Saccharomyces cerevisiae S288C: one gene and its partner. The gene in region 2 interacts genetically with the main gene of each other region. Each region holds a gene or a part of one and is shown on either strand. Other genes may lie near its edges.

Region 1 (3,759 bases), on a different chromosome or scaffold from region 2:
CTGTGTTGATAAAGAGTTTTCCGCGGAAGATTCATCAACATTAGCTGTATCTTTTTTTGAGGGTGACTCTTCAGTATCGATTATGGCCACTTGCGGATGGTCGGTAAACGTTACTTGTTTCAAGAAAGAAACATCAGTATTGCTTTTGGTCTCTTGTGGTACATTATGAGATAAGTTCTCGATGCCTTCGGTTTTCAGACAAGGTTCAGGCTCTCCTTTTATATCCGTATCCGGAGAGATCAATATAGTATCTTCAGTGCCAGTGGAGTTTGATGGTGTAGGTGTTGCAGAATTATCCCTTTGTGAGACCACTTGGGCAGCAGGTGATGAGTTTTCAAAAGTATTTTCCCTGCTCTCGAGAGCACTTACCATTTCATCTTTAATTTCTTCATTATGTAAATTTTGTATCGGTTCGCCTACATTGGTAATTTTTTGCTCATTAGTTATTATATTCTTTTGTGGTTGGCTGTTGGGAGCTTCATCAACGGTACTCTGCTTGTTTGCAATTGCGTCCAATGTAACATCAGGTAATGCTGTTGGCTTTAATTCGTCTGAATTTACTCTACTCACCGCTGCATCTGGACTCGATTCTCCTTCAACTGTATCGTTAGTAGAAGTTTCCTCAATCCTTTTCTGGTTGTGTACAGATGAAGAATTCTCACCCAAAGAATTCACGTCGCCATCGTTCTTTATCGATTCTTCACTCTCCCGCTTTTTATCATCTGATGCGTCCTGTTTTCCGAGATTTAAATTCTTCTTTGGCTTCCTCGGATATTTTTTCTTCTTCTTATCACGTTTATTCAATTGTTCCTGCCAATATTTACGATCTTCTAACTCCATCGCTGGCGTCATTAGCCAAGCAGTAGATAAAAATTGCAGTATAGTCTCATTTGGCTGGAATTTCTGCTTTTGTCTTTTCTGCAAAGCTAGACGATTCTCCTTTTTCCAAACTTCTTGTTCCTTGAACTTATCCAGTGACAAAATATTCAGCTTCTCAGTCTCCTTGGCAATCCGTAGCCTCTCTTCTTGTGTCAGCATATGCTGAGACTCCTGCTCCTTGTGTTTCCTTATTCTTTCTTGTATAATTTTTCTCTTTTTTTCAGCTTTAGACAATTTCTCATAAACTTTCATCGTGTTTTCCATTACCGATGATCTTTTAGAAGTTCTCCTTGTATTTAATAGTAACGTCTCTGCGTTTAATTGTTCATGGGTATGGTGCGATCTTGGTATAGCTTCTCCTGACTTAGGCTTAGGTTTTTGTTTTTTGATTACAACGGGACCCTTCTGTAATCTCTTGTTTCTTTTCTTTCTTGAAAGTAGTTCTTGTCTTCGTATTTCCTTTTCCTCTGCATCTTCATCATTCTCGTTGCTGGAGTCCTCAGATTCGCTACTGCTGAACATTAAGTCATCGGCTGCTTGCTCACTTGAAGCCTGAGAGGGCTCTTTCCTTATACTTTGAGTCTCATCTTCTTTTTCTTCCCCTTCATCATCGTCATCTTTTGCCATCATTTCGAAATCTTCATCATCTTCATCTTCCTGAAACAACAGCCCTATTTCATCTTCTTCATCATCATTACCATTCTTATAGGAAGAAATTTGTCTTTTGGTAGATTCTATATCTCTTAGCTCCTGCTCCAATAGTTTTTGTAATTTATTACCGGCATTAGACCTCCTAGATCGTGTTTGTATAATAAATTCTGTGTTAGTATCTAGACTTTTATCAGCACCTTCATCACTCATCGTGCACTGTGAATTTGCTTCGGTTTCACTTCTATTTGTATTCATTAGACTACATGGTGCTTTCTGCTTACTGTTTTTTCCATCAGGATTTTTTTAACAAAGAAAAAAGAAAACTACTAAAACCTAAATAAGGTACATATTTTGGCTTACCAGCAAAGAGAATATAAAGAAAAGGGAAAGGAGAGAAAAATTCTGAATATGCAACTTTGTGTGCTTTTTGTTTTCACTGAGCGCTTTCTAAAGCTTTATTTTTGTCTTCAGTATCTAAGTTTGGCTCTTCATCAATAAAAGCCGGTGGCGCATTCGCACCTAGTAAGTAACTGGGCATATCGTTACCTAATGAGTTTTCGCTGGTTGGCAAAGTGAAATCCTCTTGTGCCAGAGCATCCAGCTCTGCATCCAGCTCTGCATCACTAATGTCGTCGAGCTCGCCACTGTTATTATTCATTGCCAAGACTTCTTGCAGCTCATCCCCTTGTTCTATTAAATCCAGCATCTCATCCTGCATGTCCTGTAGTTTGTCGATATTTATCTTGCCGTATTGAGCCTTCATGGCATTGTTTGTTTGCTTTAGTGCGTTTATAGTGATCATTGTGTTCTGTAAGTTATCATTTGTTAACTGGGCTTGCGTCATGGACCAGGATTGAGAATCTAAAGAATCCTTCATATTTTCTAACTGTTTACGTTTATTTAAAATCTTCAAAGCCTGTTTTCTTAACGAGGGTTGCTTGTTGTTTGATCTTTGCAAATTCTTTTGAATATTTTGCAGCTGGAAGTTTAACTGGGCGATTTGAGTATCTAACTGGGATATTCTGTTCGATAGTGATTGTTGGGCCTGATTCATGGACTGATTCGACTCTTGTAAGAGCTGATCATGGCTCTTTTTGTTCCCATATCCGAAAATCCTGTTCATAATTGCCTTGAAGAGTTTATAACTGTGTTTCAACCAATCTTGGCTTCCTCCTATTACTACTTTTTTTAGATGTACTTTTTCTCTTGCTAAAAATCCCATATTTTTGTATGGCTGAAAAACATAGAGGAAGAAAAAGGTCAAAAAACAAAAGATATATACAAAGTTACAAATATATACATGTATATATGTGTGAGTCTGTTGTGATAGAATGAATGGAGAAAATGTTCACCAGATTATTTCTTCAAATATTGGGCCAATTCTTCGATGGAGATCAAAGGAATGCCATGTTTCTTACCAAACGCTTGGCAGTCATTTAATCTCATCATAGTTCCTTGTTCGTCATCGTTAACCAATTCGCCAATAACAGCGACGGGACTTAGTCCACTTAGTTTACACAAATCGACACCGGCCTCAGTGTGGCCTCTTCTCTGCAAAACACCGCCATCAGCGGCTCTCAAGGGACAGATGTGCCCTGGTTTTAAAAATGATTTTGGCGTAGAGGAAGAGTCTGCAAGAGCCCTACAAGTCATCGACCTGTCGTGAGCAGAAATACCTGTGGTAGTGCCTTGGGCTACATCTACAGTTATTGTGTATGCAGTTCCATGCCTGTCGTCATCATTGGATTCAAACTTCATGCCTGTTCTCAGTAGTGGAAGGTCCAACTTATCAGCAATGGCATTCGTCATAGGTGCACAGACGTAGCCTGAGGAATGGCGTACAAGAAAGGCCATTTGTTCAGTGCTGACATTTTCAGCAGCGCAAATAAGATCACCTTCATTTTCACGACCGGCATCGTCCATAACAATTACAAACTTATTCTGCTTGAAGTGTTCTATAGCTTGATCAATTGGTGTAAACATTTTCGACGTTGCCTTTTCTTCTTTTCCTTTCCTTTTTTTTAGCCTTCTGCTTTTTGTTGGAGATATTTACATTCACCTCACATATATACGCCAATGAAAATTTCACAATAGCACGTATATTAATAATAGCCTTGCTTTTTTTTATCAATTCTCGCTAAGAAATTACTCATCAGGCAATAACCTATGCTCACCCGCCTCGAAGCGGCGTTAGGAGATAACAGTGGCCGTGTAGAGGGACGTCTTAGC
Region 2 (3,759 bases):
GATGATAGTATTATTTTTATTTAGTATATTTAAATATATAAATATAAATATATTTTTACAAACACTGAAATTGTCCTGCCTACTAAAACTTAAGGTCAAATTTGATATCCAATTCACCAACCATGCGCTCCAACCCACCAAGGCGCCTGAATTGTGCCACAAGTAGCTCTTTCTCACGCTTATCTTTAGCATCTTTATCTTCTTGTAGCTTCTCTTGTTGTGCAATTTCTTTAGCTTTTGCGTTTTCTTCCTTTTGTATCTCCTGATAGTAAACTTTGGTCCTGGTTTTTAGCCTGCTGAAAGGATCGCTCTTTGAATCAAAGTTATTACTGTCTTCTTTTTTCACATGCTCTGCATTTCTGATGTTACTCATATTCAATTTTCTATTCTTAGAGGTCAACTCGCCTAGTTTTTTAATGTCAGATTGGTCATTTTCATGATGCTTCTCGTATACAGACATTCGTTTCTCAAAGTTTCTTAACTGAGCAGAGTATTTTGCAATGTCCTTTTCATTATTAGTCTCCTTGGCATATTGCAATTTTTCTCTCAATACAGTTTTCTCCAAGACTGCATTCGTACCAGATAGTTTTTTATTGAATTGCATCCTATGGCGAACAACCTCATCTGTAGTTTTATCAGTCAATGGTGTATTGACAAAATCCATAACCTCTTTCGTTTTGTTACTCAAAGAATGTAAAGAAGGTTTAATCATTTGCGAATTATCCAATGCCCTGAGATACCTTTGGTATTCGTCTTCGGCAAACAAACCATCACTAAAATAATTCATTTGAAAAACCTTTCTGTCTTTACCTTGGGTAACACCGAAATACTGGTTAGTATAGAACTTACCCATATTGTAAGGTTTTTGCAAGAAAACTCTCTCAATTCTCACCATACGGTAAGAAGTTTTGCCGGTACGTTTATCTGTGCCAACATTGACTCTCCCATAACAACCTTTGACTGCATCTTCAAACCCGGGATAAAAACAAAATTTTGCGACAAATGAACGACCGATCCTTAGTTTGTTGAAATCAGAAATCTCAGGCTCTCTGTCTTGCTCGTCCTCCTCTTCAGCCCACTCCACTTCTTCTCTTTTGTCGTATGTATCCCTTCTATCAAAAGGATTGTATTCTTCATCATCCCCGTATTCACTCCCTTCATCGTCCTTGTAGTCTTCTTCCCTGTAATCTTCCTCATCGTCTTCGTCTTCATTATCGCTGTAGTGACGGTTTTTCCTCGCTCTTTGTTTCTTTAATTGCGAAAGTTTTGAAGCCTTGATATCAGAATGCCCAGTAGCATGGGTTGATCTAGTGGAAGCTCTGGTCTTTCTGGAATCTTCGTCGTTCTTGGCTCTCTGTTGTTGTTCCTTCATATCTCTTCCACGTGCTCTAAAAAGTTTCCTCTCCTGGTACTTCTGCATGATTTGAGATCTTTCAAATAATAGAGTCTCACGTTCCATTTCAGGTAAGGATTCCAGGTGCTCTCTGTCGCTCTCATCCTTGTACTTTCCTTCCAAGGGAAAAGGATTAGCTTCTTCTTCTTCTTCGGAACCGTAGTCTGCATTTCCTACAGAGTAAGGGTTATAATCGTCCTCCTCATCATCATCCTCTACACTGCCGACTTCAATTCTCCTTTTCTTGGAAAGAGATTGGTCGTTGTTTTTTGCCCTTTTGGCAGATGTAGTTGTCAAAACTTGATCTTCTTCTTCGGATTCATCGGCACCAGCCAAGGCTAATAAATCCTCATCTAAATCAGACATTTCTATAGTGCTCTCAACAAATTAGTGCAATACAATTACAAACTTTGGTATCCTTCAAGTACCTTTTGTAACTTTGAATATTTTCCTTCCAGCTCGTAGTCACTATTTGAACCAATTTCAATAAAATATAAATTGTCAAAATTACAAAACCGGGTAATGGATGATAAACTTTTACAGTCAAAGTTCTATAGGTAGACATACATGTCATAAGCTGCTATCCTTACATGATTCAAGGCAGCGAACACAGGACTGGTTCAGAAAGCAAACCATTCACTTATAAAAGATATTGTTCAAAAGGTACTGGTTGAGAAATAACATAAATATGTATATACATTACTTATGTGATGCTTATTTCTTTGCACCATACTTGTTGACAGATTTACCATCTGGGATGGTAAAAAAGACATATGGCTTACCATCCTTGGGTAAAGCATCCAATCTGTAGTAGCCCTTTCTTTCGAATTGGATGATATCACCAATCTTCATATCCTTAACATTCAAGTCAGCAATGGCATCCGTGTGGAATTCTGTTTGAGGAGTCAAGAAATCTTCGAAACTTTCGTCTTCTTCCAATCTGTCCTTGGTAATCAAATGGTCGAAGTCAACTAAATCAACAGGGACGACATCTTTAGTATCAGCTAACCAAGTCAACTTGTGCTTGGTCTTTTTGAAATCACCTTCCAAATTCAATTTGGCAACCATAGAACCATCGTCATTCTTTTTAGTAATAATGACATTACCCCAGTCCATTAAAGTGACTTCTTCATCAACATTGATGACGTCAGCATCATCTTTGTCGACAACAATGTCTTTGTAGTAAATGACTTTCTTTTCGCCCACAGCTGGGTTTTTCTTGTGTTTTGGTTTCATTTCAATCTTTGGTTCTTGTGGAGCTTCGGAGCCTTCCAAGTGGATTTTAACTGGGTTGACGATAGCAGTGTGTCTTGGAGCAATTGGATCAATGACCTTCTTGTTGAAAGCCCAGATCAAGTTCCATTCCAAGTTAATGACATTTCTGGATGGACCTTGGGATAAGACGAAGTTCCTCAAACCTTCGACAGTCATACCTCTTCTTCTCACACCCCTGACAGTTGGGAACCTTGGATCGTCCCAATTTCCGACCAAGTCCTTGTCAACCATCCATTGTAACTTTCTCTTAGACAACAAGGTTCTAACGAAATTGATACGAGCGAAATCCCAAATATGGACTTTTCTCAAACGCAAAGCTTGTAACATCCAATCATATTGAGCGTTACGGTCTCTATATTCAATGGTACGTAAAGCGTGGGTAACACCTTCAATAGCATCAACAATTGGGACACAGAAATCATAAGTTGGGTAGATCTTCCAAGTTGATCCGGTTCTGTGGTGAGGGGTTAGATTACATCTGTAAATGACAGGATCTCTTAGAGTCTTGTTCAAAGCCTTGTAATCGATCTTGGCACGAACACAGTTCTTCAAACCTTCTTCAGTACCGTTTTTCATTTCTTCGGTAAAAATTCTTAAGTTCTCTTCAACAGAACGATCTCTTCTGGCAGAAGCAACACCATCCATACGTTCTTCTCTCATCTTTTCAGTTGGAGTGTCGTCACAGTAAGCTTTACCATCCTTGATCATTTGAACACAGTAGTCGTACATTTCTTGGAAGTAGTCAGATGAGTAGGTTATTCTATCACCCTTGATTCCTAATAAATCCAAATCTTCCAAAATAGAGTCTTGGAATTCTTCCTTTTCCTTCGATGGGTTGGTGTCATCGAATCTAATAATCAACTTACCCTTGTAAGCTTGAGCAAAATATTGGTTCAACAAGGCAGCTTTGGCATGTCCAATATGTAAGTATCCAGAAGGTTCAGGTGGGAAACGAGTGACGACTTCACCCATTTTGGCATCTGGCAAATCAATTTCAAAGTTAGCCTTGTGAGTTTCCTTCTTCTTACCCACATTAGCACTTTTCTTTAATTCTAGTAAAGATTTGCTCAAGAAATCGTGAGCTTCGCCGA

What was found.
Region 1: mutations in RTF1 (region 2) and VPS72 together harm fitness more than expected from each alone (negative genetic interaction), as found in Saccharomyces cerevisiae (6 studies listed by BioGRID, with this or other methods).

What each region holds. Positions count from the first base shown.
Region 1 is NC_001136.10:1,425,468-1,429,226, forward strand, and holds the start of VPS72 (Vps72p), read right to left. Parts: upstream 1,741-3,759; coding exon 1-1,740. Other genes in the region: VPS60 (Vps60p), read right to left, coding at 1,964-2,653; 3,4-dihydroxy-2-butanone-4-phosphate synthase RIB3, read right to left, coding at 2,887-3,513; PAC11 (dynein intermediate chain), read right to left, coding at 3,721-3,759. UniProt on the Saccharomyces cerevisiae protein: Participates in the catalytic exchange of histone H2A for the H2A variant HTZ1, an euchromatin-specific factor, leading to chromatin remodeling and changes in transcription of targeted genes. Indirectly involved in vacuolar protein sorting.
Region 2 is NC_001139.9:39,498-43,256, reverse strand, and holds RTF1 (RNA polymerase-associated protein), read right to left. Parts: upstream 1,760-3,759; coding exon 83-1,759; downstream 1-82. Other genes in the region: glutamate--tRNA ligase GUS1, read right to left, coding at 2,108-3,759.